2 linked regions of the Mus musculus genome follow. The protein of the gene in region 1 binds, or shares a complex with, the protein of each later gene. Links are inferred from orthologs where the notes say so. Each region holds a gene or a part of one and is shown in the gene's direction. Other genes may lie near its edges.

What was found.
Region 2: the proteins of Dlc1 (region 1) and Tns2 are in contact, whole or in part, in an NMR structure (PDB 2LOZ), measured with the Homo sapiens proteins. The link is inferred for Mus musculus from reciprocal best matches to the Homo sapiens genes DLC1 and TNS2. Residues at the interface, in NP_001335010.1 of Homo sapiens: Glu811, Asp812, His813, Lys814, Pro815, Gly816, Thr817, Phe818, Pro819, Ala821, Leu822, Thr823, Asn824; in NP_736610.2 of Homo sapiens: Asp1268, Leu1269, Leu1270, Arg1271, Gln1272, Gly1273, Ala1274, Ala1275, Cys1276, Lys1317, Ser1319, Ala1320, Gln1321, Thr1324, Leu1387, Asp1388, Pro1389, Asp1390, Gln1391, Val1403, Leu1404, Leu1405, Gly1406.

The regions. Positions count from the first base shown.
Region 1 is NC_000074.6:36,935,418-36,939,227, reverse strand, and holds part of Dlc1 (rho GTPase-activating protein 7), read left to right. Parts: intron 1-469; 5' UTR 470-594; coding exon 595-1,668; intron 1,669-3,810. UniProt on the Homo sapiens protein: Functions as a GTPase-activating protein for the small GTPases RHOA, RHOB, RHOC and CDC42, terminating their downstream signaling.
Region 2 is NC_000081.6:102,101,480-102,106,028, forward strand, and holds the start of Tns2 (tensin-2), read left to right. Parts: upstream 1-1,454; 5' UTR 1,455-1,607; coding exon 1,608-1,682; intron 1,683-3,050; coding exon 3,051-3,159; intron 3,160-3,859; coding exon 3,860-3,897; intron 3,898-4,549. UniProt on the Homo sapiens protein: Tyrosine-protein phosphatase which regulates cell motility, proliferation and muscle-response to insulin. Phosphatase activity is mediated by binding to phosphatidylinositol-3,4,5-triphosphate (PtdIns(3,4,5)P3) via the SH2 domain.

The DNA.
Region 1 (3,810 bases):
ATGCTGTCTCCATTGCTCAAGTTTTGCAGGACTGGTTCCCTGGTGGCCTTTGTTTCAATTCAAACCAAGCAGCAAATTCATTTCCTTAATGGCTTTTGTTCACAAAAATAAATCAGGAAAGCACACGAAGCCAGAGCAACAAGTTAGTTTTCCAGTGAATTTTATTAAGCATCACAGTCCAAATATTTTCTTAACGGAGCTTAAAATGTTTGGATACTTATATCTTTCTTCATTAATAAACCAGTCCAATTGGTTTTGGAAGTACTGATAAACTTTTACTAAAAATACTAAATGCAAAATTTTCTCTAATATTAGACTGCCTCTAAGGGGGGAAAAACATTAAGATTTTTAAGCAAAAGTTTTGCATTATTTCTTACTTCTGCTTCACAGCACAGATTAGATCCTTTGCCATGAAATATAATTATATTGGAAATGTATCTATAACAGCATATTTTCAATTCTTTCACAGTGGACAACATGGCAGATCACACTCTCTTCCTTGACCCATGCATTTGAAATCTTCTTTCCCCGACTTCCATCCCTTTGAGTGTCATATGGAATGTATCTCCTTGTCTGCTGTTAAACTATGATGACATGTCTGTAGCTATCAGAAAGAGGAGCTGGGAAGAGCACGTGACCCAGCAGACCGAACAGCCTTTTATTTCTGATGAGTATGACATAGCATGTCACCACGGACTGGCATCCGACAGCTTGGAGGGAAGGATGGAAAAAGATGCGACCTTAAATGTGGACCATAAAGAGAAGTGTGCCTCTCTACCGGACCGCTGTTGTGGGTCAGAGACAAGAGACTTTCCTGGGAGGCCAATGGGTCACATTGCACAGGAGGTAGATGAAAGTGACAGCCAAGAAGGGGAAGAGCGGTTTCTATCGCTCGAGGCCAGCACAGAAACACTAGTGCACATTTCGGATGAGGATACTGATTCTGATCTAAACCTTATCAATGACTCACAGATTTTAACTCCGCAAAGACATGAAAGAGACAGCCAAGATAGTGTCAAAGGAGCAGGCTCCTTCATGAAGACACTGTCCACCATGCAAAGTAGCCAAGATTCTCATAACACCTGGAGGATGGCTGGTAAGGCTGATATGTCTCCAGCAGAAGGAAGTGGAGAAAGGAAAGATGTTGAGGCTATAAATAAAAGCCTGGGGCTTTGTAAGAATACGAGTGCAGATGAAACAAAAGATGTGCCCATAGGAAATACATTCCAGTCTTTGAATACGGAAGATGACGTCACTCCTAAGACACTACTACTTGATTCTTCGGTACTCATAGAAGATGTCACACCTGAGACACAACTGCTTGATTCTGCAGTCATCACTCAACAATGCAGGAAATCTGACTTCCCTAAAGATGACCAGGAAAATAATCGGCACCATGTCTTAGAAGAAGACGTCTTAGCAGCTCCTTATGTAGACAGAGGGCTGCCATTATTAAAAGCAGATTGCAGAAGCAGCCTTCTTCAGCCTCCTTCCTGCCCTGGTGGGATGTCAGCAGAAAATGACCTGGAGAAGAGTGGATTCTCAGAATATCAAAACAAAAGCACTCTCGGGGTCAGCAGGGAAGATGGCATGCAGTGTTTACACTTAAGGGGCCCCGTGACCACCCAGGAGACTGTAGACAATCAAGTCAGACTGCGCAAGAGAAAGGTAAGCCTCACACATAGATCATCTGGCTTTTTGAAGTGTTGTAAATAACTTTATTTTCATAACTCATGGATGTGCTTGGGCTGAAAATGATGCACAGATGTTTTGTTTGGTTTTGTTGTTTTTAATCCTGTCACGTAGCTAGTAAAATTGAAAAACGCTCACTTGATAAAACCATGAAACTCTGCGAGAGTTGACATAATACAATAATCTTACAGTTTCACTAACAACATCGTGATGGCTTGTGGCTCTTTAAAAGTGCGTTAAGATAGCATGGCTCAGTCTCCTTGGAATTTAGTACTCACCACAATGACACTCTGTAGTTCATGGCCTTCTGAAAAGGGACATGTAATTTTTATAAGAAAAGCAGCAGTGTGCTTAATCTTGTCTCATTTGTTTGAGCTCATTTTCGTTCCCTTTCACAGATCATACTTAGTCCTCAGCAGCCACGTATTTAAAACCAAAACAAAATCAACTGGAGACTGGTGGGATGGCTCAGAGGTTAGGGCCGTGTTGGTCTCTTCCAAAGGACCAGAGGTCAGTTCTCAGTACTCATGTGGAGTGGCTCACAGCTGCCTGTAATTCCTCTTCCAGGGGACCCCATGCATGGCCTCTGGCTCTGTGGGCCCCTGCACTTGTGTGTACACACCCCACATGCAGATATACACATACATACATGGAATTGAAAATAAAATAAATCTTAAGTCAAGGTAACACTGTTAATAAGGAAAGACAACTCTTTGCATGTGCTAATATCACTTTAAATGTCATGCTAGTACATCTACTATCAGTAGCGACACCATTATGTCTTTGCCTTGAAAGGGCCCAATACATGATACAATTATTTTATACCTAGGCCTTTTGAATTAGTCTACAGATTCCTGTAAGAAGTTAAAAAAAAAATACAGGGTTGCGCTACATGACCGTGGGTTAGCACCGAACTCTTATTCATGGTTTCAGGCTTCTGTTACTTTTTTTTTTCTTTTTTTTTTCTGACAGTGTAGTACTACATGAAGTAAAATAACTCTAAGGGACAGTTTCCTCTTTGGTCACTTTCCCACGGCAGTTGAAGGAACTAAAGAAACGTTTGTGAAACAGAAGATAGCTATTCTTATTTTTGTTTAACTGGGGCCATTAGCCCACTGTTGGAGGGGGGACCTTTCCAATTCCTTCTTATTGGTTTTTGTTTTTGTTTTTAACAAAATAGATCATTAAAGTGAATGTAATCATTTCAACTACATGAAATGAACCCAAAGACATTTCGGCAAAAAAATCAATATGCTTAGACTATATTACAACAGAATAATCTGTGCTTCTGGCGAATACTCTCTTCCTTACATAAGCTGTATTTAAATGTCAGGGTGCCAGAAAGTTATTATGATTGGAATGTTCATGTCACATTTCCAGAAATTTCCATATGTCCTATCAAATCTGTTGGAGAGAATGCAATAATGACACAAGGAAATATTAACTGACTTATGACATGGCTCCCTAAAATAAGACAAATCTGACCCAACCGCCTACAGACACACTACACATTCCTGCAACACATGTTCATGGCTGGACATTGGTATCAATATGAAGAGTACTGGAACGGATCTGCTCTTCAGCAAAGTGCTAAAGGCTGCACTGGGAAATTTATATATATTTGCAAGTTCTAATATAAATGTTCTATTTTAAGCATTTCAACCCCCAATGTGTTGCCCGATTATTGGTTGAAATAGTTCCTTTGACATTATAACCTTTGGCATGCCTCAGAATGAGTAAACTAAATGCAAACATTTAAGTTGAAAATTTGTTATAGAAAATGTGGTTAAGGTACAAATCATTAGTATTAGAATGGGTAATATCTTTTGTATTATCTGTTACTAATGAATGTTAAATAACGATAAATTGAAAATTAGCTCAAATTGTACCCAAATAATCAATTGTATACATATGAACAACACATACAGAGATATTCTTTGCTTCATGTAACTAGAAACTAAAAAAAAGCCTAATTTTGATCAACATATATTTAACTATCACAAATTGTATGGAATGCTATACAGCCATTAGGAACTTGGACATAGGGGCTTGTAGACATAGCTCAGTCAGTACAGTGCTTACCATTCAAGCAGGAACAATCAAATTTGATTTCCCAAA
Region 2 (4,549 bases), on another chromosome or scaffold:
CCACCAGAGGTTGCAGATGTAGGCCCATGTACCATAGGAGCAGAGGGGAAAAAAAATTGATCAGGGGAGGCGCTGCAGTGATCCATCTTCCCCAGCAGGGCTGGGTGCGGAATCAGGACAGCCCCGGTTGCCCACCTGGCCATCGGCCTGGAATGTCCTGGGACACAGCCAGAACTCAGGTGGGGATTGCAGAGCCAGGGGCCCTCTCCAGTTACAGCACGGTGCCCCACCCCTTGCCACTCACAGGGCCTTCTAGCCAGGGTACACTGGCAACGATGGGCTTCCTAGAGAACAGGCATGCAGCGGGAAGAGGCCTCAGACTCTTCAGTCTGACAGGTCTTCTGAAGGATCCCTGGGGAGGACTAGAGCAGCCCTTCATCTGTCAGATGGGCGTGAGGCAGAAAGAGGAGAGTCCTGTGGGACCCTGCAAGAGGTGCCAGAACTGGAGGAGTTGCACTGGGACATTCAGTAAATACCATGCAAATGAGGGTGACACGGTGTACATTCTTTCAAATGACAGCTAGCTACAGCATTCCAAAGGCTGCTGTCTAGAGCTTGGGCTGGGAACCCCCAGGCTGTTGACCCTTGTTGTAGGAAGGTTGTTCCATCCTTTCCAAGGGCCCCATACACCTCCTTCCCTTGACTCCTGGGACAGGAAGTTGGCCCTATTCCCAGGAGGGAAGCAGGAGGCCCTAGAGAGGGTGGAGTATGTGTTGGGAGGGGGCCTCCTGTCCAGTCCTCGGGTCCAGTGACAGCCACAGAGGAAGGAGAGACAGGCCAGAAGAGCCATGAAGGTAGCGCTCAGATTCTGGTGGGCGGGTGGGGTCCCCAGTAGAACCTCAGGTGCAGGATCTGGGAGCTAAGCCAGGAACTGTGGGTTGTATCTGGAGAGGAGCAGCTGGGGTGTTCAGGAGGAACCTCCAGTGCTTTGGGTTACAGCAAGATGGACCATTCCTGTAAGCCCTTAGCCCTTCCCGCTGGAACTTGGCGTTGAGGAGGGTACTATAAGATCCTTCTCCCGTCTGACAGGGAAGTTAGCCCTCATCCCTAACTTTCTTTCACCCTGAGGATGTGGAGTGCTGGGCTGTCAGGGGTACTGGTTCCCAGCAACACTCCCTTCCCACAGGAAATCCCAAGGGAGCATGAGGGTTCAGGCTAGAGACTGGCCGGGGACACAGTGTTCTCCACTGGCCCTTGAGCCCTGCCCTGAGACCTGAATTCCCACCCTGTGCCACTGGCTGATTCCAGGGCTGGATCTCAGGACTGCAGACCCCCTGCACACAGTGGCCCACTGGGTGGGAGGCAGCTCCAGAGATGGGGAGAGCCAGAGATCTTAGGCTGACACTCCCAGCAGGGTAGATCCTGGGAATCTGATCTCCTGGCCTCCCCCACATCCTCCCCCACCCCACTTCCTGGAGCAGCGACCTGCCCCCTTCCCGCCTGCACTTCCCTCCACTTCCAGGGCCAGGCTTCTCCACACACCAGCCAGACAGCCTCCCCTCCACCCAAGGGAAGCGGCTGCCTCGGCAGGCTGCTTCCAGGAAGCCCCAGGCCAGGCCCCAGCATTGTTCAGGCCCTGCAGCCAAGAGTCCAGCCAGCCAGACACCATGAAGTCCAGCGGCCCTGTGGAAAGGTTGCTCAGAGCCCTGGGGAGGAGGGACAGCAGCCGGGCCACCAGCAGGGTAGGAGTGCCCACCAGCTGGGCAAAGGTGGGGCAGGGTGGAGGTGCGGACAAGGCGGGAGGGCCAGGATTCAGGCCAGACCAGACCCTCTTCCTAGTTTCAGCCTCTTCTCCTGGCTGGCTCAGCATCCCCCTCCTCTTTCTTTCGCCTGACCCCCTGAGGTGGCTAGGGTAGGGTAGCAGTGTGATTCTAGCATCTGTTTTGACTTCTCTGTGTATTTCCTGGCTTGAGCCTGGATAGGCCCCGAGGGTTCAGCTAAGAGCTCAAGCCCTGACCTCCGGGGGAAGCTTGAGGGAAAAGGTATGGGAAGAAGGCAATGAGGGAAGGGAGGGTGCCTTCTACTGACGTCATCTGCACACGACGTCATCATCCACAAGTGCGTCCAAGTGTCCTGGTGGGTCTCGCCCCCAGTCGTTAAGGGACCAACGCTGCTCCCATGTTATTCTCCTCTTCACACTACGGTGGGCAGATCCAGGGAGAGGAGGGGACAGCGGGAGCTTGAACACACAGCGGTGAAGAATGTGCAGTGGAGTGGTGGGAGGAGTGAGGGAGATTGTCCACAGACTCTAGATAGGAGGGATGAACTGGGGTGGGAGGGGTCAGAACTGCAGTGAAAACTTGCAGTGAGTAGGGACTAAGGGGGACCTGGACAACTGGTGGCAGCCCAGCCAGCCACTGACCTCACTACCTCTGGGTGGGGAGGGGGCATCCGGAGAACCTGGCCACCCCTGTCATAACATGCAGAGGCAGCGAGGCAGCTGCCTGTGTGTCCCCACTGCTATTCCTCCTTCCGAGCGAACGTCTTAGACAATTGCTGCCTGCCGCCTCAGTGCACAGAGAGTAAACATGTTGTTCTGACCGTGGGGGAGGGGGTCATATTAGCTGCCTGGAGCTTGGGGACACTGAGAGCCAGGGGCTCAGAACTGGCTGCAGTCAGTCTGGGTATTATGTGATAGTGCTTGTGTGTCCTGGCCGTCAGCTCACAGTATACAAGCCTCTTGTGGGGAGGGCAAGATGGGAGGAGAGTCAGACCCCCCACTCTGCCAAGATTCAGAAAGCCCTCACATTGGAAGTGGGGGTGTGTGTGACAAGGACATCACATAGCTCCGCCACGTGAGAAGTCCTGAGTGAACCCTTAGGGAGGAGTTGACCCAGCCAAGGTGACGCAAGGGGTCACATTCCAAGCCCTGTAGAGGACAGGCCTCATGACTACCCTGAAACAGCTGTGGCCAAGTGTGCCTTAGAGTTCACAGACTTTTGGCTGGAAGAGAGGGAAGCAGCATCGCTCTAAGGAAAGGTCCCTGCCCAGCCTTGGAGATGAGCCCACTAGGAACACATACCCCTATTTGTCTGTCATCCCACCCGCAGCCGAGGAAAGCAGAACCACACAGCTTCCGGGAGAAGGTTTTCCGGAAGAAAACTCCAGTGTGTGCAGTGTGTAAGGTGACCATCGATGGGACCGGTGTCTCCTGCCGAGGTGAGGTGGTGCTCTTGGTGCCTGAGCCCTCCAGGCAGCACTTCTGTGTGGCTCAGGCTCTAGAGACAGGCAAATTCAGAAACAAATGCCCTCACTCTTCTTGACACCCACCTTGCCACAGCCCAGGAGATTTGTGACTCTACCACCTTCCCATCCTTACCTGTGACTAGGGTCTTCCCTTCCTCTTGCTCCTCCTCCTCTTCTTCTTCCTCCTCCTCTTTTTCTTCTTCCTCCTCTTCTTTTTCCTCCTTTTTCCTTTTCCTCCTCCTTTTCCTCTTCTTCCTCTTCCTCTTCCTTCTCTTTTTCCTCTTCTTCCTCCTCTTTTTCCTCTTCTTCCTCCTCCTCTTTTTCCTCTTCTGCCTCCTCCTCTTTTTCCTCTTCCTCCCCTTTCTCTTCCTCCTCATCTTCCTGTTCCTCTTCTTCTTCCTCATCCTTTTCTTCTTCCTCCTCTTCTTCCTCCTACTGTTCTTCCTCCTCTTCCTCTTTCCCCTCCTCACCTCTATTCATCCTAGACCCCAACCCCCGGCCCTCTTCCCTTACTCCAGAGCAGAACCTGTTGATAACCAGCTCTGTTCTTCAACTCCTAGTAACCTAGTGTACCAGGGTCCCAGAGCTGGCTTCTAAGGCCTGTGGGGCTGGAGCACAGTTATTTTGACTATTCCCGTAAGCCTCTGCTAACCTCTACCCTTTCTCTCTCTAGTCTGCAAGGTGGCCACACACAGAAAATGTGAAGCAAAGGTGAGTATGTGGTTCTATCTAATGGGGAGATGGTGTCTTTCCCTGTCCAGACAGGCATCTTCAGCCTCACTGGCATGGGCCACCATGTCACCCTGTCCCCTGTCACTCACTCCTGGACACCCCTTCCTGGGTGGCAGGGGTGTTGTGTTGGGCTCTTTAAGAAACACCCTACTCCACCCCTGGAGGGTTGGCCCAGGAGGGTGGACAGTGAGACAGCGTTTGTCTTGGTGCTGTGCCCAGGCTGCAGCTGGCGAGAGGATGAGGGGGGGTGGCTGCGGGGGGAGGAAGGGCGGGGTGGATAGAGAGGGAGCAAGATTTCAGAGACCAGGCACCCTGATGGGAGGTGCCTTCCCTCTGAGGAAAGGGTCCTCAGGATGCCTGCGTTGGTCTCATCCTGGGTAGTGAAAGCTGAGCCTGTTCAGGTATAATACCCTGTAGCTGGTACCCGCTGTCCACTGAGAACCTAAGGTAGCCCTGCATCTCTGAGGAACGTTCCTGGTGCTCCATCAGTGCAGGGGGTAGTCCCAGGGCCTCAAGCTAGCTTGGGGGAGCTCTGTGCCCATGGGTGGGGTCTCAACGGTGAAAGAGGCTAGTGTCCACCCCTGGCCATTGCCTGGCTGGCTGGCTCTATATATAACTCCTGTCCTGCCGC